Alligator mississippiensis: one gene and its partners. The protein of the gene in region 2 interacts with the protein of the main gene of each other region in a pairwise test. Links are inferred from orthologs where the notes say so. Each region holds a gene or a part of one and is shown on either strand. Other genes may lie near its edges. The genes, in order: HOXC4, NCK2, LCP2 and EIF3H.

The links.
Region 1: the proteins of NCK2 (region 2) and HOXC4 interact in binary tests that used the Homo sapiens proteins (3 or more experiments, as listed by UniProt). The two-hybrid records come from large-scale screens. The link is inferred for Alligator mississippiensis from reciprocal best matches to the Homo sapiens genes NCK2 and HOXC4.
Region 3: the proteins of NCK2 (region 2) and LCP2 interact in binary tests that used the Homo sapiens proteins (3 or more experiments, as listed by UniProt). The two-hybrid records come from large-scale screens. The link is inferred for Alligator mississippiensis from reciprocal best matches to the Homo sapiens genes NCK2 and LCP2.
Region 4: the proteins of NCK2 (region 2) and EIF3H interact in binary tests that used the Homo sapiens proteins (3 or more experiments, as listed by UniProt). The two-hybrid records come from large-scale screens. The link is inferred for Alligator mississippiensis from reciprocal best matches to the Homo sapiens genes NCK2 and EIF3H.

The regions. Positions count from the first base shown.
Region 1 is NC_081838.1:8,231,767-8,238,754, reverse strand, and holds the start of HOXC4 (homeobox protein Hox-C4), read left to right. Parts: upstream 1-3,984; 5' UTR 3,985-4,489; intron 4,490-6,936; exon of another isoform or gene 6,937-6,988. UniProt on the Homo sapiens protein: Sequence-specific transcription factor which is part of a developmental regulatory system that provides cells with specific positional identities on the anterior-posterior axis.
Region 2 is NC_081824.1:347,833,816-347,840,993, reverse strand, and holds the start of NCK2 (cytoplasmic protein NCK2), read right to left. Parts: upstream 3,002-7,178; 5' UTR 2,721-3,001; intron 1-2,720. UniProt on the Homo sapiens protein: Adapter protein which associates with tyrosine-phosphorylated growth factor receptors or their cellular substrates. Maintains low levels of EIF2S1 phosphorylation by promoting its dephosphorylation by PP1.
Region 3 is NC_081832.1:49,569,566-49,576,521, reverse strand, and holds the start of LCP2 (lymphocyte cytosolic protein 2), read right to left. Parts: upstream 3,023-6,956; 5' UTR 2,795-3,022; coding exon 2,717-2,794; intron 1-2,716. UniProt on the Homo sapiens protein: Adapter protein primarily involved in signaling pathways within T-cells, as well as other immune cells such as platelets, mast cells, and natural killer (NK) cells.
Region 4 is NC_081826.1:24,947,259-24,954,887, forward strand, and holds the start of EIF3H (eukaryotic translation initiation factor 3 subunit H), read left to right. Parts: upstream 1-4,616; 5' UTR 4,617-4,648; coding exon 4,649-4,756; intron 4,757-7,629.

The DNA of each region.
Region 1 (6,988 bases), on a different chromosome or scaffold from region 2:
AACCCCACCGCGGTGCCTTCAGTTCTCTTGGAGAGTTGGAATAACTAAGACATTGCAAATATTTCCCTTGCGCTCGTCTTCCTTTCGCTCAGCGATGGAGATGGGGCTGTGAAATCTTTCCATCTCTTGTTTTCCCCTCTCCCTGCTCTAAATGGACTACATCATATAGGGCAAGAGGAAATAAAAGTAGACGGGTTGTTTACCCAGATAGGAGAGATAAGCAAGCACAAAATTCCTAGGATGCATTGATTCACTGCACAGCGTCTGGGGTTTGCGTGGGACATTCCTAACCCAAAACACGAAGCTTAAAGGATTTAAATGCCTCGGTGATGGGCAAGGCTGGACACTGCTCAGATCCCCAGCAAGAGGCAGGGCTCGGCTGCGGGTTTCATCCCGTATTAAAGCATGACTTCAATGTGGACCCGTGCGCTTACCCAGCCTCCCCTCTCCCCTCTGGTGCCTGTGAATGTGCGACACGGCGTGTGTGGGGCTAGACCCGTGTGCCAGGGTGTCTGCAGGTTCAAGAGAGCACCACACACAAGGTGTGTGTCCATGCGGGGCGAAGGAGTGCGTGCTTGCTTGCAGGGTGTGCGGGCAAGGGAAGTGTGTCTGTCTGTCTGCAGGCATCTGATCCCTGCATCCCAGCATGCACACACCTCCGAGCCCTGGAACCGCACACAACACACGCAACACGGCTGTACCGCACACCCAACCGTTTCTAGTCGGCTGCTTATTGTAGGGCAAACAGACGTGCTTATCAACTCGTTTTCTCCTTGGAAGAGCTACAGAAATAAAATAAGGCTCGCTATAGCCTTCGCTCTTGCCAAAGTAGCCACTTAAGGTAGGCTGGTTTATTAGCCATAAGCCAGACGGGTTTATTTGAACTGAGGTATCATCTTCAGGGTTATTCTTCTGGCATTTACAACCCGGTAGTTATCTTCCCCTTGCTACAGTGCAAGGCGTCTGTGCACCTCTGCATCAATGTTAGCAGGCAAATTCAAGCGAAGTCCCTCAGGGCTATTTCTAAACTCCTGCCTTTTGGGGAGGGGAAAAAAAAAAGATTTTGATGAAATCTTACATAGGAAATACCCAGATTATTATTATTATTATTTTTGTTCACGGGGATTAGGCAAGAGCGAGAACATATCTCATTTAAAAATAAAATAAAATACAAGAAAACGTTGGCGGCGTTCTCTATCCATCATATTTAAACCCCCGGCTCTAAGTAGTTTGATAGGCACAAATAATACAGAACGACATTTATCTGCGCAAGGGTCTGAAGGGAAATTATTGAAACTACAAGTCAAGCAGTTCCCCCCCTCTTTTTTTTTTTTGGCTAACTGTTTATGGGCTGCAGTCAACACAACAGAGTCGCATCTTCAGCTGCCATCCAGTGATTTTCTCAATCATCCCATCATTTCGAGAGAGAAAAAAGAGGGGGGGGGAGGAGGAAAAAAAAGAGCCATTTTATGAGGGGAAAGTAATTTCAAAGAAGATGCGCTCCTCACAAAGTGGCTTATACCGAAATGATCATCGCTTCGACATTACTGAAATTAGACTCATCTAGCCGCCTGCAGTAAGAAATATCATCCTATTCCACGCTTTTTATTAGCCAATCAAATTTCCTTCGGATCTCCATTTGTGATTTGTGAAAAATATAATTCCGCGAAAAGCTGATCTGCAGCTTATTGCTCATTTTGCCTTAATTTATTATTCTAATCACAGCCGCCGCTCCACGAGAATGCATCCATTAGGCTCAAAAATTCGTTTAGATTTTATACCGGAATATGGGCGCAGATTATATTGGAGAGGCAACGAATTTCTCAGGCGTTATGTGTATATGCATCTTTTGCCAACACCCAACACAGCTCGGAAGGGGGTGGGTACAAATAAGAAAGTTTGAGAAACTTGGGGAAGGGGAGATTTTTTTTCCCCACCTGGCTTCAATTTTTTTCCTCACTTCACCCCATTTCTCCCCCAAAATTGGCTTTTCCTTGAAGAGAAAGGGGAGGGGGGGGGATAACAAGAAAAGAGACCTTTTCTAATATTTCATTCCAGCCCAAGAAGTGGAAAAGCAGCGTTGCATGGGGCTGAGATCCTGTAGAAAGGTCATATTAAAATAATGGGCCGAAAGACTGCTTTGGAAACGGGTCGGGCAGGTTGTGGGGTTGTTGGGGATTTTTTTTTTTCCTCGTTGTTTTTTTTTTTTTCCTTGCAAAAGATAAAATGTCCTGTTCATTTTATGGATTCTTTTCTCTCGTCTGCTGCTTTGGAAAATGGCAAGTCCATTGTGTTCCGGGCGCTGTTGTGCCGCTGGCTCCCCGCTCGTAACTTTTAACTACCTGTTATAAAATTTATTGGTGGTTTGTAAAGTGAATAAAGTAATTTCCCTTCCATCCGGTTGTATTGCAACCTTTGTGTTGTTTGGACAGACAGACACACACGCGTGCGCCCTCCCCCCCACCCCCCGCAACCCCCCTGCCCTTAGCTGAAAATAAGCAAATAAAGGCAAAGCGATGAGAAATACCTGCAGAATTGACCTTTCTCTATAATACGAGAGCAGAGGGGGGAGATATGTGTAGAGCCCTTGAGTCCTACTATTGCGACAAAAATGCGGTGATTTTTTTTTGTGGTAGTCTTATCTCTCCAATCTTTGTCCTGGCTCTTGTGTCTAGCCCTGAAGCGAGTTGAGATGGTCAAAATATTTCAGGGGTGGGGGTGGAGGGGGGGGAAGGAGGAAGAAGTGCAACATTTAATCTGAACTAGCAGATCTAACTAAGAATGCTGGGCGATTTGCAAAGGTTATGGGACTCGTCACATGCTCCTAGCAGGCCTCTACATGACAACATTTTTTTGCCCTAGCACCAAATGTCTGTTTTTCTTATATCGGCTTAACCCCCCAAATCCAAATATCAAAATAAAAAAAAATAATTCCTGATACAAAATATGCACCCCCCCCAAAAAAAAAAACCCACCACCAACCTTGTGCGATAAAGGGATGAGGGCTCACAGACAAGTTCTAGCTAGGATTTCCAGACACGCCGTGATTAAAAATAAAAGAATCCCACCACGCCATCCTATAATTGGGAAGGAATTAATTAATTACACATACACAAAAAAAATACCGCCATAAAAATGAAGGCAAAAAAAATTAAAGGAAATTGCTGGGGAAATACGGCATTAGCTGCTCCCCTTTGGAGGTTAATAATATGATCCTTCCCATATCTTTAGTGTTGAGTTAGAGGGCTCGGTTATGTAGCACAGAGGATATGGAGGAAAACCCGAAGGAAATTGGGGCTCAGCCCCGACATCCAAGCGGACACACCCTTGGTGGAAATTCAAGAAAACCCACAACCCAACTCAGTGGTCTTTATTCCTAGCTCTGCTTGAATTTAACAGGGGTTGATCATTGTATGATGATGATTATTATTATTTCAATTCCCCGCAATATCCCTATTTCCCCTCTTTGCCTCCTTCGTGCTCATTCCACTAAGACACTTAATTAATTAACCAAATGAACACGGCGCATAAGGCCAAATCTCCCTGCCTTAAAAACCCAACAACAACAACAAGTCCGGCTGATCCTTCAACAAGGCAGCTCAGACGTGACGAGGCAACCTCGCTCTTTGAAAATCCCCGATATTAATTTGTTCCCTTTAATGAAACTGGGCGGGGGGGGGGGGACGGGAGAGAGAAGGCTTTTTAAAAAAAAATACTAATATTAAAAAAGAATTGTATAAACATGGCGACAGAGGAGAGCATTTGCACTCGTCACAAAAATGCAATGCATTCCTGGTTGTTTGCAGAAAATTTACAGCTAAGCAATAAAAGTTTACGACTGAATCACAAGTTGGATTGGCCACAGGAAGTCATGTGGACTCCATCCATGAACGTGAACTTTTTATTGTGGTTTCTCTTATGACTCTTTCGCAGTAGTCCTTCCTTTAACAGTCCAAGCAGTGCCAGGGGTAGGATGGTATTTTTCCCCCCTCATTATTAGCATCATTATTATTATTTTTTTTGAGATCTAGATTTTTTTTTTCCTCTCCTTGGGGTTGGAAGTGTTGGTTGCCTTGGGCATTTTGGGATATAATGTGTTTACTGCTGCGTCTCGTGCTTGCTTCCTTTTCTCAACCCCTAGGGGCAAAACGCAGTATATTTCCTTTGGACGATGCAGTGAACAGGGGCAGAAGGAGTTGTAAATACCGTTTTTTTTTCCCTTTTTTTTTCTTTTTTAGGGAAAAAAACCCCATGCTATGCCTTGCTAAGCTCCCCCCATCCCCTGTCCAAGCAGAGAAGAAACTGTTTCGCTTTGGTTTCCATCTTTCTTATTTTTTTATATGATTATTATGATTATTTTTCCTTTTTTTTAAAAAAAAATGTTTCTGTGGAGCTGAGCTGCAGCGTCAGTGGATCAGAAAGAGAGAGAGAGAGAAAGAGAGAGAGAGAGACAGAGAGAGACAGGGAGAGGGGGAGACAGGCAACGTTGGTAAGTGTTCCCTTATTGGCTAAAATGTGTAACTAATGATCCATAGCAATGGGTGTTAAAGATAATGATGCATCGGGGTTTTTTTTTTTTGCGAGCGAGGGGTGTAGCTTGGATATGGTAGACTTGTGCTGGGCTTCGGCACCAATGCAGTTAATTCGGGGGAAGAGGGGCTTGCTCCTGCTGATGTCACATTTGTGCCGATCTGGTTTGCTGGAGACAGCCAGGGATGCTTGCTGCAGCCTGCTTTTGCATTGACAATGGTGCAGTGTTCACGGGGGTGGCGGGGGGTGTGTGTGGGGAGAGGGGAGGGGGTGTTGCTGGAAGGCCTCAGATGCATCCGATGGACCATCTACTAGTTAAAATTAAAGGGGGGGGGGATTGCAAGATGGGTGTTGGGTGGGGGAGGGAATAAGAGGGGGGTGGGCAGAGAGGGCAGGGGCCAGCTGTGGATTGCAAGCCCTAAGCACCAGAGCCAATACCTCCATATAGTTCTCTATATAAAAGAATCCCCAAACTTTTCATAAGAGGAAATCAGGGGGTGTCTACTGAGCACACATGCGCAGTGCGGGCCGCGAGCCGCATCCAGGAAGCGTCCTAGCAGCCGCCGTCTCACTCAAGCGGTTTGTGCCATTTTTAATGAGCAATTATGGCGGGGGGGGGGGGATGTGTGAGTGTGTGTGCGTGCAACAAACACGGCCTTGCACGCCCAGCCCCCACTGCCTCCAGCACATGATTTAAGGCCAGGTTCGTCTGCCTGGTTTTATTCCGAATTTCTTCCCACCCCCCACCACCAAAAAAAAAAAAAAAAAGAAGAAGAAAACACCCATCCTGTGCTCACCCTCCCATCCGTACCTCCACTCACACCCGGCGGCTGGGCTGGGAGCTTCCCACGAACCCGGTTCTTCTCCCCCTATTGTGCTCCTGGCCCTCGGCAGGAGATTGCAAACCTTTTCTCCCGGCTCTGCTCCCTATGGACACAAGTTGCAGGCATCTTTTTACATGAGGGTGCTCCTGCTAATTCCACCTGGGTTTCCCATGATGTTGACCCCCTAGAGTTTTATTCAGCATCTATTTCCCCCTTGTCTTTGAATACCTTTTCCTCCTGAAGGACCTTTAGTGAGTGCAATGGAAAGGAGACTTTCTTCTTACACACGCACAGACACATCTCTATCTATCTATCTATCTATCTATCTATCTATCTATCTATCTATCTATCTATCTATCTATCTATCTATCTATCTATCTCTAGATACCTACCATCTCTAGCTCTCTATATCAGCTCTCCATATATCTCTAGCTCTCTATATATCAGGCTGTCCACACTACTATAGAAAGCGATCCACGTATTGGTTTCACTTAAGGGATGCGCTGTTCTAGCTTAATTTTCTTTTCTCTTCTTTTTTTCCTCCTTCTTATCCCCTCGGCATGCCGGCTTTTCGTGAACTGTGTGTCTGTGTTTGCAGTCGAAACTCCTGTGGCTGGAAGTCACAGTATAAAATGGTGGGCATATAAAATGATACCATAAAGTAAAAGATAAAACAGACGTTGTTGTGACTATGGGCTGGGAAGGGGGGAAGGGTGGCAAAAAAAATTGCTGGTCCCTGCCTTCTTATAAATTATTGAGGGGTCCCAGCTATATGAATGCAATATATGGATTGATCGCCTTATCGAAAGGACCTCTCAAGCTGATTGAGTTCAGGCTTAAACCGTGCAACGGAGGGATACTTTCTGCTTTCCTGGGTTACAAAAAAATACGGCCTCTTCTGTCCTTTAATTTCCAGTGGGAACTCGCCAGAGGTTATCTAAAGTGATCTGAGTGGTTTAGAAGTTCCCTGGGACTGATTCTTAATTTGATTTCTCTGTGTGGCGTGGAAAAAAATAACTATTAAAAAAAAAAAAAAAGGAGAGGAAGAACTTGCTAGGGTTCAAAAAGGGACATGTGCTTCTATCCTTTGTCTTAAAGGTTGTTTTGAGAAATATTGTTAAATCCACCTGATCATTCCTGCCGTGTATTATTATTATTGTTGTTATTATTACTATTATTACTACTACTACCATCGTCATCACTATCATTATTGTTACTACTACTATTATTATTGCTGCTATTCATGTTAGTATTATGTTATTATTATTATTACTGCTATTACTATTATGATTCGAAAAATTGCCGGCGTCTTCGGTTCATGCAAGAGCCATGCGACCTGGTAAATTGAAAACAGTTGCTTTCTAATGAATGGGGGAAAAAAAAGAGGCGAGTTTTATTTGGCGTCTTTCGAGGGGGCAATTTCTGGCAGGCTCATTCCTGAGATGATTTTATTTCTTTAAAGGAGAGCACGAGTGTATCCTGAGCTGGGGGTGGGAAGCCAGGGAGACAACTCTGCCTTGGTTTTGTTTCTGCAAACACGATGGGAGACTGTTTGCTGCGATCTCTGAAGTCGTAAAGACAGTTTATGGGCAAACAATGAGCGTTTATTGGAACCACATGATTACAGAAATAGG
Region 2 (7,178 bases):
ATAGTACTAACCATTAATACCTTATAACACCCACCCCCCATTTTAAGTGCATTTAAGTTTTTTCAACCCAGACATTAAATTAATACAAAACAAATGAAACCTTACATTTACTGCATATAGCAGCATTCTTTGGAGAACCTACAATGTTTTCTCTTACACGTGGCCCTCTCGAATTTTACCTACTCTATTATTTTTACACTGACTTCCACCCACTGAAAAAAAAAAGGAAAGAAAGAAAGGAAATCTCAGAAGTTTTTCTGTCACTGGGGGGGGTATACACATTCTGGCAAATGTCACAATTCCGAGCTCCAATTAAACAGAAGTTTTCATGATACGAAATAAATATTTCTGAAATGTTACTACAAGCAATTGGATCACCCTACGTTACTGCTCCTGGAATGGTTTTTAATTAACAGGTTTGGTATTCTCTCTAGACAAGATGTCTTCTTCCTCACTTGAATGTATGAACTTGTAACAGACTACTCTATCTTAAAATTTTGCATCCTGCTGAACCAGGCAACTACACAAAAAGTACTTTAATCTTAGGTTTAACATTTAGCAACCTCTGCTTTATTAACAATGAAAGCATGTTCATTTCTTTTGTAGAACACAATTTACTGATCTCTTCTAAAAAGTAAGTTTTCTTTTCTATTTCATGCTTTCAAATGTTAAAATGTATTCTTTGTACTATTATTTATGGACTAAAAATTAAATCTTACATTTATGTAGCAAGGGTTTTTTTATAATAATTATTTAGAGCTGATTAGGGATTTGTTATTTCACCCACCACTAAAATGTAATCAGTCTAATTTCTTACAAGACAACTAATGTAGCTAATCAAAACAAAGGAAGATGGGAAGAAGGAGTTCCCCAAATAAATGTGCAAGGATCAAAAATGGTGTCTGTCTTGGGAAACCTCAATCAATACCCACACATACAAGTACTACAGATTCTTAAACAGACCCAAGTCATCAAGTTTTCAGCTGCATGAAGAAACAACACAGTGCCCAATAACATCACCATACACTTCATTTTGACTGATTTAAAAGAACAAACAGGGGCTCTTATTAAATTACCCATATGAACTCAAGATTTCTTTGGAGGTCTTCCATATGAAAAGTGACCAAAGCCTACCCTACTTAACTTTTGAGGTTTGAAGAGATTTCATTCTACAAGCTGCAGACTCTATCATTTCTGCACATTGAAAACATGGTAAAAAAGGGCATTGCCTTTAGCTTCAATTTAAGTTTAATAGCAGTCAAAAAGCAGCTTTCCACAGAACAACCCAGCTCTTTTGCAGGGCCTGTCTCTTTAGGACAGAAGCTGTTTTGCTGGTGGAGCACTGTGTCCAATGAGGGAAGAAGCAGAAATAAGAGTGTTCCTTATCCTTCCCCTGCAAAAGCCAAGAGATGATAAAAGGAATAAACTGGTAAAGGCGATCCCCTCCCCCTCCCATGCAACCAGCCAGGAAACTTTAAAAGGAAATGAAGGGGAGGAACAGAAGAGACAGCTAGCCCCTGCAAAAGAGAGAGAAAGAAAGCTAAGAGGGAGCTGGAATTTCAGTTTTTCAGACACTTATTAGGCAGAGGCCAAGGTAGGGAAACCAGGCAGAAGACAAATGACTACATAATCTTTGCATTTCTTTTGCAGGGGAAATCTTGGAGATCACTTAAAAAATTGAGCACACGTGTGTCACTTCTAGGCAGCTGATTCAGATGCAGTTAACAGCAACCACAACAAACAAAACCCCTCACGACTGTTATGTATTGCACGAGACACACACTACCAATCGCCATCCCAATCTTTATAAGAGCAGGACCTCCCTCCATCCCTGCCCAGAGCTGTCGGCAGCTGCCATCCTGGCTCAAGTTCAGCGAGGAATAACTACAAAGGCTGACGTGCCAGCCCCCTTGTTGCCGATACCACCGCTCGGGGCGACCCCAAGCATTTTAGTTTCGACCGCCGTGATGCTACCTTTCCGAAACAATTGAGTCACTTCAAGACCAATTGCCTTTGTTGCCAAGTTAAAAGCACCCTGAGCTGTCTTTAACCCAAACCTGAGCCTACACAGCTGCGTTTGTTCCTGAACGGCTGCTGAAGAACAGCGGTGACAAGTACGGGGGTCACACCACTGCTCAAAGACAATGGCACAGAGCTTAAAAAAAAAAAAGGGGGGGGGGGAGCGGGGGAGGTGACAAGCCCGCAGATGCTGAACACGTTAAACCCTATAAAGCTGCTTCACTGAGGGCACAAGAAGCTGAGTCCCGCCCAAAGCGCGGGTCTCTTGAAGGGACACCCGTGTCCTTAAGGCTGAAGCGAGCAGAGGCCACAGGGATCGGGCCCGAGGAAGGGAGCAGGGGCCGAAACGGGACACGGCTGCAGCCGAAGGGTAGGAGGTGGCAGAGCGGAAAGCAACGGAGCCCCCGTCTCGGTCCCAGTCGGATGAGGCCCGAGGGACGCGGGCAGACCCCTCGCGAGAGGCGGAGGAGGGGGCTCCGCTCCCGCACACCTGCGCCCCGCGGCCCCTCCCCTCGCCAAGTTTCCCAGGCCCCGGCTCCGCCCCGCCCCGGCCCGTGACCCCCGACCCAGGCCGCCGCGGGCGGGACGTGGCGGGAGCAGCGCCCCCCACACCCGCAGGTGAGCCCGGCCGGGGCCTCCTTTCCCCTCCCCTCCCTTCCCTTCCCGTCCCGGCAGCGGGCAAGGGCCGAGGCCGCGCCTACCTGGGGGCAGCGGCGGCGGCGTCTCCCCGGCGGGCTCCGCTCTTTGTCTCGGCGGGTCCCGCTCCCCCTCCCGTCGGCGGCGGATGCAGCAGCAGCGGCCGCCTCCTTCTTCCCGCGGGGCCGCCCCCCACCCGCCCCTCCCGGACGGACGCGCTGCCCCAGGCCCCGGCTGCTGCCTCGCTCAGCCCCGCGGCGGCGGCATCGGCCCCTCCTCCGTGCTTGCCTCTTCCCTTCCTGCCGCGGCCGCTGCCGGGATCCGTGGGGCGGGGGAAGGGGGCGGCCTCTGAGCCCGCCCTCCCTCGCCCGGGCTCCCGCCCCGCCCCCGCCATGGAGACGCCCAGTCCCTCCTAGGCCTTGCACACGCCCCGCCCCCCACAACCGGGCGCTCGGGGGTAAAGCCCCGCCCCTTTACGGGGGGGGGGGGGGAAGCAACACAGGGCTGCACAAAGCCCCTGAATCGGCGTTTCTCACACACGGGCCGAGACCGTTTGTCCGATTCAACTGCAGCCCGAGCTATAAATAGCCCAAAGATTACCGCCCCCTCCAGACCCACCCATTGGCGCTTCCTGTGTGACGTCATCCCGGGAGCCCCGCCTTTAGAAAGACGCAAGGGGCATGGTAGGGAGGGACGCCCGTTCTGAGGGCTCCCTCCCCAACCCAGACATGCCCGGCGCTGCCCCATTAGGCCTTCCCCGTGACGTCAGCCGCGGGAGCCCCACCCCCTCAAGGCGGCCCGGGACCTAAGGGGGAAAGCCGGCTGCGAGGGGGCGGGGCTGTCCCGTGGGGCGGGGCGAGCTGGGCTCTGTCGGTGCTCGCCTCAGCGGGCGGGATAGGCTGGGAGGGCGAGAGTGTGGTGAGGGCGGGGTGACTGGTTTTCTCTGATTTAAAAAGAAATCCCCAATTTTGGCAGTAAAAAAAGTAACCCAAATCCACATTTTTCTGTGATTAAAATGAAACATCACTATATATATAGTAACCCAAATATATATATATATATATATATAGTAACTATATAGTACCTATAGTAACCAACTATGTACTCTATATATAGTATATATAGTAACCCATATCTATTTATAGTATAGTATATATAGTAACTATATACTATATATATTGACCCAAATATATATATATGTATACATATATATCTACTAACCCCAAATATGAAACAGCACTAATATATAAATAGATATAGTGGTGTTTCATTTTAATCATGGAACATGTGGATTTTGGGTTACTTTTTATACTTGGAAAATTGGGGATTTTTTTTTTTTTTTTAAATCGGAGAAAACCAGTATCCCTGCTCATCAGATTGGCATTGTCAGATCCCAGCAGCTTGGCCTCTCCTGACTTGTTCCCTTGTCGACTTGCAGACTTTGCATTTAAACGTGTTTGCTAGGGTTACTCTCGCCCCCACCCCCATGCCAAGGGCAGGTCCAAGGGTGCAGGTGCCATGGTGCAGCTATACCCTGCATCCAAAATTTTAAAGCCAACTGCCTGGCAATGATGGCAGCATTGCTAGACGGAGCCAACTGACTTCATGGTTCATCTTGTGGGCTAAGATCAAGTGTAGCCGCTGCACTGGTCTGTTGCCCAGACGGAGAGGGATTTAAATGGCATTATGTAGTGAAGGGTGCACCCCTGTCCAATGCAGAGGACAGGACGCCCTCTAAGAGTCTTGTAATTAGCTTCCCAGTGCCCAGCTTCCAGTGGGAGGATCTTGGCTACACACTTACTTTATGGAAATGGGGGGACTCCTCCCAACCATGCTCCTGTGGTCATTGGCTAAGGACAAGTGAGACTCAGGGGCATGCAAACCCTAAGCCCTCCAGTCTTGGGCCTGCATGTAGGATGCCTGCCAATGGATTTGGGAGTATCTGAAGCCCCAGGCTGAAAAGTCTGGGGTGGAGGATACTTGCGGGTTATAGCCCCACATATAGTGTTTGAACAACTGAATGTTGCTTAATCGAGAGGATTCAGAACTGATTTGGCTAATTCAACTTGGAATACAAAAAATTTTCCAAAAAAAAAATCTCTCCTCCCCTTCAGGTTTTAAGGACACCCTCCCCTTTCCAATGGTCCTGATGTTCCACTCTTCAAACTATCCTTGCTTTTGCAATGTTGTGATGTCTCTAAACTATTCCAGGGAATGCCACTCTTCCATTTCACAACCCTACAGACTGTTTTTAGCTCTAGCTAAAAAACTTAACTCGGGTGTAATAAAATTAACTCAGGTTGTGACAGTGAAGTATCAGAGGCACTGTTCAGACACTGAAGAAGGCTAGATTTTGTGTTAGGCAGAAAAGGTTCTTTGGGTAGATATGGTATCTTTTATTAAACCAACTAAATAGTTGAGGAAATTATTCTTTCCAAGCTTTCGGGCACAAACACCCTTCTTCAGGCATGGGGAGAGTTTGTGTTATGAATTTGAGTGAGAGATGCATATTGAACTAAAATGACCACGGAACTAGTGACACAAAAGGACCTGGGGGTTACAGTGGACAATAAGCTGGATATGAACCAATAGTGTGCCCTTGTTGCCAAGAAAGCTAACAGCATACTGGACTCCATTAATAGGAGTGTTGCCAGAAGAGAAGGGAATAACCAGTTCTCTCAATATTTAGCACTGGTGAGCTCACATCTCAAGTACTGTGCCCAGTTTTGCACATCCCTCCCGCCCCCCTCCAGAAAGGATGCAGACAAATTGGAGAGTCTAGAGGAGGACAACGAGAATGGCTTGGGGGCTAGAGCACAGGACTTATGAGGAGAGGCTGAGGGAACTGGGCTTATTTAGTCTGGAGAAGAAAAGGTTGAGACGGGATTGAATAGCAGTGTTCAGCTACCTGAAGGGTGTTTCCAAAGAGGATATAGCTAGACTGCTCTCAGTGGTGGCAGACGACAGAAATAGGAGAAATGGTTTCAAGTTGCAGCAAGAGAAGTTTAAGTTAGATATTATGAAAAACTCTCACCAGGGTGGAAGTACAGCACTGGAACAAACATGTTGTGGAAGCTCCATCCTTGGAGGTTTTTAAAGCCTGGCTATAGTAAGCTTTGACTGGGGTCATCTAGCTGGGGATGGTCCTGCTTTGAGCAGGGGGTTGGACTAGATGACTTTCTGAGGTTGCTTCCAACCCTCATTTGCTCTGATTTTATGATTCTATCTTTAGACTCTTTTTTTGCCATGCTTCTTATATATTTTTAAACTGTATATATAATCTAGCAAATTTGTGCACATACCAATAATTATATTTGCTTTTGCTTTGATCTTAAACTGAGTAATATAGTGCTAGCCCCCTAGTATATCAGTTAAGCATCTAGTTTCTCTTTAACTGGAGAAAAATGCGTTGTGCTATATGTGATGATGTGCCACACATCTGCATCCCCCCCTTTTCAAAATCCTAGATCTGTCCATGTTTGCCACCCCTAACAAGAAGAAATAAGTCTGTATGCAAGCCAGGAATGCTTATGAAGTCAGTTGACTGTTTTTTTCTTAAATAAAAACTTCTTCAGAAAAAACCCACAACATGCATATTACAACAGAGTGTAGCTGTGCCTCAGTAAAATGAGTTGTTTTGCTTTCCACATGAGACACAGTATGTGCGTTTTGTCAACCTATGTCCTGAGTTTAAAACAAAAGGTGCACTGTTTTTCTGCTTTGCAAACCTGTATGGAATCAGGAATGCCTTCGGGGAGGCAGTACCATGTATTGCAGACGTAGGCAATGCTTTCCTTTGTTAAGATATCAAGACAACAGATTATTTTTATTTATTTTTTTATTAGAAACTTAAAAATGATGAAAGGATTTTCTCACAATACCTGTTTAAAAGAAAAAACGTTATTAGAAAATGTTAAAAAGTATAGTTATTACATGACTTAGTAGAGTTGGAAGACAATACAGGACCTTGTGCATAAGTACATATTTGGTGTATGTTAATGCAATCCAAGATGTGCAGTTTAGCCATATATTCTGGCTGAAACCAAGCATGGAAAAATTCAACCTAAAAGTAGAATTTCTTCTTTAAAAAGTTACTATTTGGGATCCAATTTTGCCATAATTTCTGGAAGCAGACCCCTCTGCCCACATGAAGCCCGCTAATTTTTTTTTTTTAATCATTGGGGGTTTAGGTGAGTGGAGAAGGCCAAAATAGCGGGACTTTAGCAAGTAATATTAAAGTTATGGAGGAAGGAAGTTACTTTAAAACTTTAATAAGTTGTGTGCGGGCCGGGAGCGATCCGGGGCCCTTTTTCCGTGCCTCGGGCTTTGGCCAGCAGCCCAGACACGCTGGGTCGGAGAAAGCAGGCGACACGCTAGAATTAGGCATGGACGCTTAGTGGTTGATTCAAGATTGTTTACTTACACCGTAGATGGTCGCAGTGTAGGCTGGAAAGTTTCCCAGGTAAAGCTCCGCTTAAATCCCCATTTGAGGACTCAGACAAAACTCTCACTCTCACAGAGTT
Region 3 (6,956 bases), on a different chromosome or scaffold from region 2:
TGAAACTCCTTAGAAACATTTAGGTCAATCTGGTTTATAATTTCAGATGGAAGTTTTTGGATTTTTATTTCATTTTTTTTGTAAATGTAATTCTTAGCTAAAATGGAAGCACAGATGGATATTTCTGCTGAATATTAAAAATTAGGGAACGTTGTAGAGCTATAGAGAAATAAATACGTGGAAGAGAAAAGATATAATTTTTAACATGAATGAACCAAATTCTCTACTCATATGATCCCTGTTCAAACTCACCAGTGCCAGGAAGATTCCACAGAATGTAAAGCAGCAGTGAATTTGGCCCATTATGTTATAATTTTTTTTATAGAGTGCTAAGCTGAAAGAGGTCATAAGCAATGAGGGGTTTGAGGCTTCCACTCCTTTGGCCTAGTGCATTACAGGAAATGCTACTGTAGCTAAAAAATTCTGCCTAGGAATTCTGAGGAAGGCCCTCTCTCTTAAGGAAATAGTGTGGAGAACATGATACGTGGGGGAACTGGGGTGAGGAACAGGTCCACTTGGATCCTGAAGCTGCCCTCCTTTTTATTTGAATCAAAACTTCCAAGAATTTTTCTTCCATTTTTTTATAAAAAAGCAGCGGAAATATAGTTATGAATTGTTCTGTTGTGAGACAGCAAAATATATTTGTCTTTGGGAATTAATATCTACTGAAAGCACTGGAATAAATCTCTAGGGCAAATAGTCTGCCGCCCTTGCTTAGACAGAGCAGTACTTATTCATATGGAAAGTCCCAAGGAAGTTTACGGAACTAATTGGGAGTGTTGCCTGACAAAGAAGCAGGCTTCATTTTATGGTCATTAAAAGGCTAGGTATGTGGATTTCCAGGCTGGCTTTTTAAAGGAGCATAAGTGATCTGAGTAGCAAATCCTTAGTGAATTTAAGAATCTAACACTCTGTAGGCTTCCAAAAATCGCAGTACAAATACTGAAACACTTTGTGTCAGGGTTCCTGTCAGGTTTTCCCTATAGTCCAGCAAACACAAGGTACTATAGCTTTAAATTGAGCTCTAGGCTATAACACAGTTTTATAATGCACTCAAGTTTATAGTGGGTCCTAAAACTGAAGATATTTAGATACAGGAATTAGCTTACTGGAGACACCATATATGACCAACATTTAACACTTTTCTACCTTTAAAACTAGAGTTACTGTGTTAAGCGTATAATTTTTACAGCACCAAACTAAATGAGACATCCTTACAAAGCATTTTTTTCTTGCTTCCTTTAGAAGCTATTAGTTTCTTTGCTATTAATTTAACATATATATTTTCAGAATTTAAAAAAGTCTTCATGAGATCAATATAGAATACAATGACTTTTTATGGGGCATGTTTTGATTTCTAAAAGATCATTTGAAATTATTTGTGCCACAGATTGTGCTCTTGTTTTAAATAATGTGCGTTTGTGCATCTGAGTAGGCTCATAGGAAAGTAGAGCTGGAAAGGACCTCATAAGGTAATCTAGGCTAGACTCCTGCACAAAATAGGATCATCTCTGACTAAACTATCTCTGCCAAGTGTCTGTCTAACCTGCTTTTGACATTTCCAAGGATGGAGATTCCATGACTTCTCTAGGTAGCCTGTTCCAAAGCCTGAACACCCCTGTACTCAAAAAGTTCCTCCTAATCTCCAACTTAAATTTCCCCTGCTGCAATTTGGGGTCATTGCTCCAAGTCCTGTCCCCTACAGCCCCAGAGAAGAGCCCATTTACATCCATCCTCTCTATAATCGCCCTTCTGATATTCCATGACTGTGATCAAATTTCACCCCCTCCCTCCCACCCCATCCCACCTCAGGCTCCTCTTCTTCAGGCTAAGTAACCCTACTTTTTTCAATCTTTTCTCATAAGTCTGGTCTGTCAAGGCCCCGATCAATTTTGTTGCCCTGCGCTGGACTCTTTTCAAACTGTCCATATCCTTCTTGAAGTGCAGGGCCCAAAACTAGGCACACTAATTTATGTAAATCCTCTCACTATTGCTGAATAGAGTGGAAGAATCCCTTTTCTTGATTTCCAAGTGATACTCCAGTTTATACAAACCCAGGATACTGTTGGATTGTTTTGTAATGAGGGCGCATTGTTGCTTTATATTCAGTTTATGGTCTACTGTAATCCACAGGTCTTTCTCTGCAGTACTGAAGCCTCTGCACTACTGAAGCCTACAGTAATGAAGTCTGTATTTGTGCATGCAGTTATTCTGTCCCAAGTGTAGGACATTGCACTTGTCCCTGTTCAGTTTCATCTGACTGATTCTGTACCATTTCTCCAGTCTGTCCAGGTCATCCTGGATTCTAGCTTTGCCCTCCAGAGTGTCTGAAATTCCACCCAAAGCTTGGTGTTATCCATAAATTTGCTAAGCACACACTCAGTCCTGTCATCCAAATCATTAATGAAGATATTAAACAATACCAGACCCAGGATAGAACCCTGGGGAATCCTTCTTGATACCTCCTCTCAACTAGACATAACATGTAATACATATATATCTATATATATAGACAGGTTATATCTATATCTATAGACTTGTTATGTCTAGTTGAGAGGAGGTATCAAGAAGGATTCCCCAGGGTTCTATATCTATATCTATACATATACATACTATATATATGTGTGTGTGTGTATGTACACACACACACATGCTTAAAGTATGTTACAGTCATTTGTTTTTCAACTATTCGAGGGCAAAACACAGTGAAACTTACTGTTTTAAAGTACTCTGCTAGTTCATCTGGGTTCCAAGCAGCCACATCTGAGCGATAAGGAATGTTTCGCAAATCCATTTTAGTTTTAATTTCCTAGGAGGTTACAGAATTTTCATGCCAAGAGTATTGATGAAACAGCATAGACTTCTTGTCTGAGACCACTTCCAGCAAGTTTAATAATCTCCTTGCCTAATACATGCTCAGAACTTCTTTTGTTAAATACTGACTTCTTATTTCTGAATTATGGTGTAAGAGCATTCAAGAGAGCCCCTGCTTCCTCTCAGTACAAAATGGTCTCTTCTCAGAAAACTTGTCAGCTAGTCAGGCTTACCACTTCCTTTATATGTGAATCTAAATAAGTAAACAAGGAAGCGCAATAACATGTTTAAAATATTCTGCCTGCTGCATGTAAGTGAAATCTGTATGAGCCCTTTTCATCTGAATTTAAGTGGGAAGGGTTGTGTATTTACATGAGATACCCATATAAATATACTGGTACCTAGACTCTGTATTGTGTGCATGTATATACATGAGGATTCCTGAAAAAGACTGTTGCTTTTGAGTTAAATTTGCTTAAGTGCAAATGTAGCCATGCGATACCTAAAAAAATGAGGAAATACCTACATAAAGGAACTTTCTTTTGCATTTCTTGTCACCCCAGATGACAGATTAACTACTTATATTAATAAATACTCCCTTACCTTTCTAACGTGTAAAAATAATAACATGTAAAATAACACATAAAACAAATTCCTCTGGCTCATGCAGTTATGCAAGCTCTTAGCAGTAGTCTCTGAAATAGTTCCATGTATTTTCTACAATCATATGTACATAGTCTGAGCGTATGGTATTTTTTATACACAAGGGTACAGTACCAAGTTAGTGTTACATTTGTGCATGAGGATAGATGCTCAGATATAGTTATGGAGTCAATACATAAACAGTACCTCAGTGATATAAAGTCATAATTAGAACCGGAGGAAATATTTAGAAGTTCCAGGTTTAAATGAATTTTTAAAATTAAATTGTAATGATTTCTCCTGCATTTTATATGCAGGCCTAGTGGTCACCACCCTGAGCCTGAGCAATAAAGTATTGAATTCTGAGATTGGTAGCCTAATTAAAAGCGGGCAACCAGGGAACCAACCTGAGGTATTGACTTCAGGAGTGTGCAAAAACAGCAGCCATTGCTGCTGCTCTCTAGGTTGTTATATTGCTAGCAGCTCAGTTGTAGCTTCTGCCTTGTATGCTACTGCTGCCCAGGGTGCAAAACTGTCCCATTATACCTCTGCATGAGATGATAGGGGTTATGTGACAGACCCCAGAGTTATGATAAATTGATCCTACTGTGTTCCTTTAACTCATCTACACTTCCCACTTTCAGCTTCCTTACTGAGACTGATAATCCAAACTTCCTAGCGGCTTTAAACACATTCCATTAAAAAGATACTTTGAGAAAATTTACTTTATTCTCCCTTCCCCTTGCCCCAAAACAGAATTTCCTCCCAAAGTCATGCTGATACAAGGTGCTGTAGAAGTATTATCCAGTCATGGTTTAGTGACAGGGATGAGGTCTGGTAGTTTATGGGCCTGAGTAGGAATAGTGTTTGCTATACAGTATACCTCTGTCATGTATACCTGCACACTTCACACATTTTGAAAAAATGTTACACCTGATCTGTGTAAAGATGTCTGGGTTTTTTTCTTTGAATAGTGGTTTGTTCGTTTTGATAAATGCATACGACATCATAGACAAATACAGGCTGCTGGGGAAACATAATATTGAATTTCCTGTTGAAATTTTCATCCAAATTTTTGCATTAATGTAATTGTTTATCATGCAATTTCCTGTTGTATTTTATCAGTGGAAAATGTTGGTCACTTGCTCAGATAAAAAGGTTGCCCGCCCAGTGTGAACAGTGTGTCTGTGTGTGTGTGTGTGTCAACTGCCCACCATTACAATGTGGGACAGGGTATTCAGTCACGTGGTAACTGAAATAAAAGATATATTTTTTCCTTTATTTCCAGCTTTAGATTTCAGTTAATTACTCATAATTTCTGCCCTCTCACCATTTCCATAGCTACTTTGTTGTCTTCTCTCCCTATTTCTCTGTAGTCACTGTTGTTCCTCACAATAATAATTCTTCCCCTTTCACCTCACCTATCTGACTCGTCTTTATCTTTGGACCTTAGTGAAAAGGTGAGTAGACCAGGTTGAGTTCCATGATGGCAGGATATTGTAACCAAAATAAGGATTAAAGAGGAGATTTAAAGAGTGGATTTAAGTACTGGGAAGAGAAGGAAAGGTTGAAGGATCTAAGCAGGCCCAGAGGGGTTGGTGGCTAAGGCAGCTTGGAGGGCTTAACTGGTAGGAAGGAGCATAGACTGATCCTTGAGAGAGGTAGTCCGAGCGATAGCTGTGGAAACAATAGTGGGTGGATGAATGAGATGGGGCAAGTAGAAAGCAGTAGAAGGGGAAATAGAGTTGATCAGTCACATCCCCAAACCCACTCAAATTTTGTATGTCCACAAGCAAAGAGAAGTGAAGAACCTTCAAAAAAGAAGGAAAAAGGCATGTGAAGTCTTCAGGAGAGGAGAGTACAAGATAACATCCCTTTCACAGTATGCTATGTTGCATGAATTTTGCATCTCAGAATGTCACCCTTTTGTGAAGACCTGCAGTCCCTTAAAAGTGAGAAATACAGTAAACTCTAGTTAATTAGCCTGTCGGATAATTCACCACTACAGTTTAATTTGGCATTGTTTCAGTTCCCTGCCAGAAACCTTGTCCCCGCAACCCCACCCTCCCATCCCTAGTATCAGCTCCTGATAATCACATCACCACTGTGTTAATTGGTTACTACTGGATATTTCACCAGTAGTAGTATTCTTCTTGGAGTGGGAACGTAACCAATTTACTCATAGTAACTATTACTGGTTACTAGACTGAGATAATTTTATAGCTTTTTATCTGAAAAACCTCCACTGATAATGAACTTCACTTTAGAGGGTAACTCTTCAAGTACTTACAAATATAGGCTAACAATGAAATTGCCCATTGGTTATAGCTACACTGGTTTAAATAGTACTTGAGATTCTTAGTGTTTTGGAGCTGACAGTTCAAAAAGGAAGCCCATACTGCCCACGCTCTTCAGGGTTAAAAAAGCATTAACACTTTCCACCCTCTCTTTCCTGTCTGAGGAAGGCAGAAGATTACATCGTGGATGGACCTTATTGGAAGATGGAACTCATGTCTAACTGCTTTCATAATGACTTTTTCCACAACACATTGGTTTACATTTTCATTTTTCCAGAGCTGTCTCATTGCACACATGAAGCTCATAAATCTTTAAATTAACATGAAGTAAAACTCCACAACCCTACAGAGTTGGACATTTTGTCTTTTTTCTTTTGACCAATTTAGTTTTAATACTCTCCAACTAACAGATCTTCCTCCGCTCTTCCTCCACTGTTCCATCCTCAGTTGCATCTGACTTGAAGGGTTTTTTGAATTTGTCATAATTTTCCCTTTCTTAATGTAATCCCCTTTATTCTATGTTACAAACATTAATACAACGCACACTAAAGAATCCTTGTTTTTTACACCAGTTGGATATCTTTATATTGTTACATATTTCTAGCTATCCCTTCATAATCACTATATGGAACTCTACTTCTGTGATGACCTGTAACTTTTCTTATCTATCAGTTTCTTTCCGCTGTCTAGTAATCGCTTGCTTACCCTTAGTTTCATAGTATCATGGTGCTTAGGGTCGGAAGGGACCTAAACAGATCATCAGGTCTGACCCCCTGCCCTGGGCAGGAATGAGTGCCGGGGTCATAACACCCCAGTCAAATCTCTGTCTAGCCTCCTCTTGAAGATCCCCAGGGGAGGAGATTGTACCACGTCCCTTGGGAGTCCGTTCCAGAGCCTGGCAGCCCTAACCATAAAGTAATGTCTCCTGATGAACCTTCTCTCTAACAGTTTGTGGCCATTATTCCTAGTAACCCCCAGTGGTGCCCGAGAAAACAGGGCTTCACCCAATTTCTGCTGGTCCCCCCTGGTGAGTTTATAAATGGCCACCAGATCCCCTCTCAGCCTTCTCTTGTGGAGGCTGCATAGATTCAGGCCCTTTAGCCTCTCTTCATAGGTCCTGACCCGCTGCCCCTTTACCATGCAAGTGGCCCTCCTCTGGACCCTCTCAATGCTAGCCACATCCCTCTTGAAGTGTGGCACCCA
Region 4 (7,629 bases), on a different chromosome or scaffold from region 2:
GGGGCCGCATCTACATGAGACACTGACTGCACAGTTGTTACTGCGCAGCCATTTAGCACTTGTATGAACAGCTTTTTTGTGATGCTGACTGCGCAGTAGCCCGAAACTACTGCACAGCAGCATTGTCGCAGTTTTTGCCGCACAGTGCTACTGCACTGTAGTCACGGGCTACTGCGTAGTCAGCATCTCATGTAGACACAACCACTGATTAGGAAATGGTAAAATCTGTGACTGTAAAGGAGGAGGAGGAAAAAAGAACAGCAGAATAAAAGCAAGAAACTTCCAACTAAATCCAGAGAACTGATTGGCAAGATCAGGGGTGCTAAGTCTAAGGGAAAAAGAGTGCAGGAAACTTGATTGTTCCTTAAAGAGACAATATTAAGAGAATGAAGACACATGCTCTCCCTATCTACAGGAAGGACAGGAAGTGTAGCAATAAGCCTGCTTACCCAAACTGTCAGTTCTTCAATAAGAGCTGAGGCTTTAAAAGAAGACTTATACAAAAGAGAACTTTGGCCATGCTAACAGGATGAATATAAGAGTCTGAACATGTAGGGGCAAAATCCGAAATGCCAAGGCTAGCAATGGATGTAGAATTAAAAAAAAAAGCATTCCTTAAATGCATTATAAGTAGGAAGGAGATCAAGAAAAGTGAGTTTCTCTTAATGGGAAGGAGAAGCTAATAATGGATGATATGGAGAAGGCTGAAGTGTTTAATGCCTTTTTAACTTCAGTCTTCACAAAAAAAGGTCAACTATTCAATGACAAACACAGCATCTAAAACAGTGGAACAGGTACTCAGCCTAGTGTGGGACAGAATAAATTATAGATTATTTACATAAGTGAGATGTTTTCAATTAGCAGGGCCTGATGAGATTCATCCTAGACTACTCAAGAAATTGGCTGAAGTAATTGCAGAGGAGACTGAAATGTGCATGTATGAAGCTCATACAAAAGGGAAAAAGGATGACCCACAAAATTAGCAACCAGTCAGTCTCATTTTGATACCTGGAAAGATACGGGAACATATTATCACACAACTGATTGTAATAATCTAGAACAGGGGTGGGGTAGCCAACTTGCAGAATAACTGCCACAAGTGGCACTGGCCGCTTGTGTGTGTGGCACATGGCAGATGGGGAGGGGAGGGGGACAGGCAGCACAACAGTTGATAGGGGAAGAAGTAGAAGACAGTACAGCAAATCAGACAGAGAGCAGAGAATAGAAAGCAGAGAAGCAAATTGGGCAGAGGAAAGGATCAGAGTGGCACTCAGGGAGGGTGTGAAGCTAATTTGTGGTGTGCCTGCCAAAAAGGTTGCCCCCACTAGAGGTCCACCGATATATTAGTCTCGTATGGTAGCGGCCCCGATAAAAGGAAAATTGACATTATCGGCAATCAACTTTTCTTGGCTGATGTGGATGATAATGTTGCCAATAAATGCTGCATGCACGTGCACAGCCACAGCAAGCCCAGCAGTGTAGAGAGCAGCATCCAGTTGGTAAGTCTTTTGTGGGGGAAGGGGCATGGGGGAAGAAAAGGGTGTGGTGGGGGGCAGACCAAGGCCTCTGTGGTGAGGGAGTGGGGCTGGGGCAGGCGCTGCCCAGCCAGAATGGACCAAAGCATGGGACGGAGCTGGGGAGTGTGTGGCTTCTGCTGCTGCATGCACCACAGGAAGGCATGGGGGACATGTGCCCCCTGGATCTGTGCACAGGGCAAGGGCGAGCTGCCACTGTGGGCTGGGGCTGCAGGCAGCGCCAGGCTCTTCCTGGCTGGGGAGGCTGGGCTGGGGTTGCGCTCGGAGCGGGCGGTGGTGGCGCTGGAAGGGGGGCTACAGCCACCCCAAAATTCACTGTAGCTCCTTTCACAGTGCCACTGTCACTCACCCCAAGCACAGCCTGGCCCAGCCCCCATGCTGGGAAGAGCCCCAGCTCCAGCCCACAGTGACAGCCCACCTTCACCCTGCGCACAGATCCAGGGAGGCACATGTCCCCCATGTCCTCCCGGGGTGCGTGCAGCAGCAGAAACAGCCGTCTCCCTCCCCCATGGATGACCTGCAGCTCCATCCTGCACCCCACCCTGGTTATGCAGTGCCTGTCCCTGTCCCAGCACCATCCCCAGCCCTACTCCATCCCTCTTCACAGGGGCCTTGATCTGCCAGCTCCACACCCCTTCCCTCTCTCCTTCCCCAACAGACTTAACAGCAGGATGCTGCTCTCCATGCTGCTGAGCTGAGTATTGGCTGATATGGCTCATTAAAAATCAGCCATTGGTATCAGCCCCCAAAATCTCTACCAGTGCACCCCTAGCCCTCACTGATCTAAGGGATAGCAGGCTGATAGGAAGCAGCCAATATAGGTTTCATAAGAACTAATCACGGCTAATCAACCTGATTTCCTCCCATGACAGTAGTGCTCACTGTTTTGGCAGGGGGCAACAGGCACTGAGGGGGGTTATTTGGATGCACATCTTGCTGGGGTTATTTGACCCCAGCAGTCTTTCCTGCCCAAAGCAAGGCAGGGGCTGGACCCGATGATCTCATCAAGTCCCTACCAGCCCTAAACTTCTGTGAATCTGTGGGGGTACAGGCATCATGGGGGAAGGGGAGGGGGTGAAGCCACATGCCTCCCCACCCGCCCCCCTGCTGCTGCAGGTTAGACATACATTTGTCTGGGATGGTTTAGAGGTCTTTTCCATCCTTAGAGGTCTTTGAGACCCAGGTAGACAAAGCCTTGTCTGAAATGATGTAGTTAGGGATGGTCCTGCTTTGAGCAGGGGGTTGGACTAGGTGACCTGCTGAGGTCCCTTCCAACCCAATTTTCTATGCCCATTTTCACAGCCCATTTTTCTATGAGTTATACCTGTATATGCCTAACATACCATAACATCAAGCAGAGAACGAGATAACTGTCCCACAAAAATGTGATGTCACCAGTCAGCGGATCCATCAGTGAGTAGTGAAAACTATCTTCCTACCTGCATTTTTGGCTTGAGAGTGTTTCTCTGAAGTCTTTACTTTGTGGGCATTTATATGCTTGATTCCAGATTAAGAACACCTTTGACTGCAAACTACACAACATTTAAAAACACCTGTAAGTTAAATCATGTTGAATAACTGTATACATTATGTTAAACAAAATGGCAAAGTTTTCATCTCCTTATGTTGCAATTAGGTGCCCTTTGGCATTGCCTTTTAGCAAGGACCAAAGCCAGGATGGAGGATCTTTCTGATGCTCTTTTGAACACTGTATTTGTTGGGGAAAGAGAACATATACATTTTTGGAACGGCCAGACCCTGTGCAGAAGAGGGGGAGCAGTCTTAGGAGGGACGTCTTGGGTGGGGAGAGGGAGAGATCTCTTGGTGTGAGGCAGGGGAATGGATGGGCTTGGGAGCGTCTTGAGTGGAAGAAGATTTCTTATACCTAGGGTGACCACATGGGGCAATGTGAAATTTGGGACAGTGTGAAATCCGGGACACTGCACCCCCACCCTCCGCCTCTCTGCTGCTGCAGGCAGAGGCAGGGCACCATTGGTATTAGTATTCAGACAGCTAAGGAGTCAATGACCCATTTATGACCCACAGTTTTTTTCACAGGTGTTAACACCCTCCTTTTTAATGGTCATTTCACAATTAAGCTAACCTTATTAGTGCAGGGGTTCTCAAACTTTGTCATACTGTGACACTGAGTGCCAGATGGTGGCGGAAGTGGATGGGGAGCTTGTGTGCGGCAGCTGCTGCCGCCATCCAGCACTCTGCACCGCCACCGTGCACCATGTCCCTGCACTGCTGCGTGTACCCTTGGGAAGTTTGCAAGCAACCCCCTTTTAAGTTGCTCTCAACCCCTCAGGGGGTTGCAACCCAGTTTGAGAACCCCTGCATTCGGGCAATTTTGCTGCTAGGGCTTCCTATTTCACAGCTTCTACTGCTCCAGCTTGTGCTCTGCACACAAGACGCTCAGCTGGCCAGGTTTGGCCTCTGGAAGGGAGAGTTCTGGATTTCAATCTGGGACCTACAATCACCCTACTTATACCTAAATGCAGATGGGATGGGGTTGGGGGTTTTCTCTGAAGGGTCAGGAGCAGGGAAGTAGGAGCAGGTGTCATGGAGCGCGTTCCCTAGATGCGGGGCATCTACTGTTGCTTGTCAGTTACTGTAAGAGCCTCTGTGCTTTTCTGGATGCAGCAGGCTGGATACAAAAGCAATAATAATATAATAAGGGTGATGAAAGCCAAAGATGTCTTAGGGCCATCTCTTTTATTAGATTAACCATGTAGTAAGGATAAAGTTAGGCGTTGGAAGGCCAGGCGCTATGATGTGATGGAGATGCGTGGGTCACCTCCTAGCACACCCCTGTCTAAGTTTGGAGGAACTGACTTTGGCTGCGCAGGTACCCCACGCACCCCGCCCAGCGGAGCCCTTCCCCGCTACACGGGGCAACAGCGCAGCTCCCCTCCACGTACTGCAGGCTGCGAGGCAGCAACTCCTGCGTATGCGCTACCAGCGCTCACACGAGCACGAAGCTTCCGTACGCATGCGCTCTTTGTCCCCGCTCCCAGGTTTCCGCCCGGAGTGCATTTGGCGGCGTCACATCCGGCCGCCCCACCCCGCTTCCGGTGCTTCCCTTTTCACTTTCCGGCCGGCTCAGGAGGATGGCGTCTCGCAAAGAAGCGGCTGCCGCCGGCTCCGCGGTCGCCAAAGTCAAGAGTAAGGCGGCGCCGGGGGACTCGGCCGTCAAGCAAGTGCAGATCGACGGGCTGGTGCGTGCGTGGGGCTGGGGCGGGGCGGGCCTGAGCTGGCGGCGGCCGTGTGGGAGCCTCGTGGGCCAGGCGGGGGCGGCTCCGCGCGCGCTGCGGCCTCCCAGGCCCCGCGGCCGGGCGCGACGCTGCCCCCAGGGCTGGGCTTTGCGAGGGGGCCCCGCGCGCATCCCCGCGCGTGCTCTGCTCGCTCCGCCCTCCCCCTGCCGACCCCGCGCCACGAGGGGGAGGCGTGTGCGACGGGCGAGAAGCAAGATCGCGGCACGGCCCCTTTTTAAGCTTACGATGCCGTTTGGCTGCAACAAGCTCTCGGTGCCGTCCCAGGACCCGGCACTCGTGGCCCGTGGGAGCCGGTCGCTCGGCCGCAGGTTGGACATAGCGTGGCCTTTTGTGGTACAGCGGGGGAAAAACAGACGTAGGAAACGAATCGTAGAAAGTGAGGGTGGGAAGGGATGTCAGGAGGTCACATCTGGTCCAGCCCCTGGTCAGAGCAGGACCAGCCCCAACTAGATCATCCCAGCCAAGGCTTTGTCTAGCTGGGTTTTGAAAGCCTCTGAGGATGGAGAGTCTGCTACCTCTGTGGGTAACCTGTGCCAGTGTTTTACTGCCCGCCTAGTGAGAGAGTTTTTCCTAATATCTAACCTAAACTTCCCTTGCTGCAACTTGAGACCATTGCTCCTTGTTCTGTCATCTGCCACCACTGAGTACAGTCCAGCTCCATCCTCTTTGGAACCAGCCTTCAGGTAATTAAAGGCTGCTACCAAATCCCCTCTGTCTTCTCTTCTCCAGACTAAATAAACCCAGTTCCCTCAGCCTCTCCTCAGGTCATGTCCCCCAGCCCCTCACCATTTTTGTTGCCGTCCGCTGGACTCTTTCTAATTTGTCCACAAGCTTGCTGTAGTGGGGTGCCCAAAACTGAACACAGGACTCCAGGTGTGGCCTCACCAGTGCTGAATAGGGGGGAAGAATCATGTCCCTTTACCTACTGGCAAGACACCTACCAATGCAGCCCAGTAAGCCATTAGCCTGCTTTGCAACAAGGGCACACTGCTGGCTCATATTCAGCTTGTTGTCCACTGTAACCCCAAGGTCCTTTTCCGTTGCCCAGCCAGTCAGCCCCCAGCCTGTACTGGTGCTTGGGATTATTCGGTCCTACAGGCAGCACTTTTCACTTCTCATTTGCATTTATCCAGCTTTTCTAAGTAGCCCCTAACCTAGGGGTGGCCAATTATTTGGGCTAGGAGGCCACTTAAGGACTTTTGGTCAGCTGTTTTGGGAAGGGGGTGAGAACTGCTGGTGCTGACCCAGAGTTTTGGTGAGCTCTTGTGGGGGGGGAGGGGAGGAGGGAGGAAGGGGTGATAACCCAGTCTTGACACCTTGTCACACTACCTAGCATGGTGAGGGCGGGAAAATGACAATTGATCTATCTGGCCCCAGGCCTGTTGGCTCTGCACCCACAGTCAGGGATGCTGGACAGAGTGGGTGGGCAGGGTCTTCATGGAGACTAGCCTGGGACCCTACAGGTGGGATGTGCTCAGCTGGACGGATGGGATGGGGTTGCAAGTGAATTGGGGAACAGGACAGGTGGGAGGAGCCAGGGCCAGGATCATGGGGTGGTGACAGTGTGAGGCCAGGGTCTGGGGCAGAGCCACAATCCCTGCAATGGGTGCCAGTTCTGTGGGCAGCGGCTGTCCCTTGCCTGCAGACCTGCTGCCCATTGCATGGATGTGACGATAGTGGATTACAGCTTGGCCCCAGCCCCGCACTGTCACCGTATCGCAATCTTGGCCCTGCTGCTACCTGCTTGTTCTGCTCCCTGATGCTGCTTCCTGTTCTCCCATGGCCCTATCCCATCCACCTGGCTGAGCGTGTCCTGTGTGCATGTCCTCTCTGCTTCATCTTCCCCCAGTGGTGGGTGTAAGGCAGATGGGCCAGGGTGCCTGGCCAGTGGGGCCAGGTCCAGCAGTGGCAGCCAGAGGGAGCTGCCATTGTGGGGGCTGCCAGGAAGCCTAGTCCTGCTGCTGTGCCATCTGACCCCATGGATTACAGCTCCTGGTGTGCTTGACAGCTGTGTGTGGGGATAGGGTAGGCTGTGCTCTGCGGTAGGTGGCACCTCTGTGCCTGGGGCTGGCAGGACTATCTGCACATGCCATAACCTGGGCTGCTCCCCAACCTTGAACTGGGGGGGACCAAGGGGCCAGATAAAATCATATTGTTGGTTGGATGCAGCCTGTAGGCCATATTTGGCCACCCTTACCCATACCTGTTCTCTCGCCACTGTTTGCTGCTCACATTCTCCCCAGACTGTGCTGCCAAGTACAGTAGTCCGGGAGCTGACTTTGCCTGTGAAGACTGAGGTAAAAAAGGCATTAACTACTTCAGTCTTTTCTGTATCATCTGCCACTAGGTTGCCTCTCCCATTCAGTAAGGGAGATTTGTGCCATCAACATTTTTTTTCCCTGTGGCCACAGATGTTTCTTGGTGCCATGGCTACTGCTTTCTCAAATTTCAAAAGAATAAAAACTGAGTAGTTAAGTGCATTGCCTTCAGCTTGGCTAAGCAGAATCAGAAATGTGAGAGGCAGATTCAGGTATTAAAACCGCTTTTGGAAAAGGAGTATTTTCTTGGGATGCCCAGCAATGTTTCTGGGGTTTGCCAAATCGGATCATGGACCACTCTTCACCTTGGTTCTACAGCGTGCTGAAAACATAAGGTGATGGCTCTTGCATGGAGCTGTGGGCACAGTCATATTACTAGCGCAGATCATTCATGTGGAGCACTGGTTCTCAACCTTGTTAGACTTGAGACACCCCTTGGAAAATGCCAGCTCTTAATTTTTGCTCTTTTATCACGACAGAGATATAATAGAAGAATTT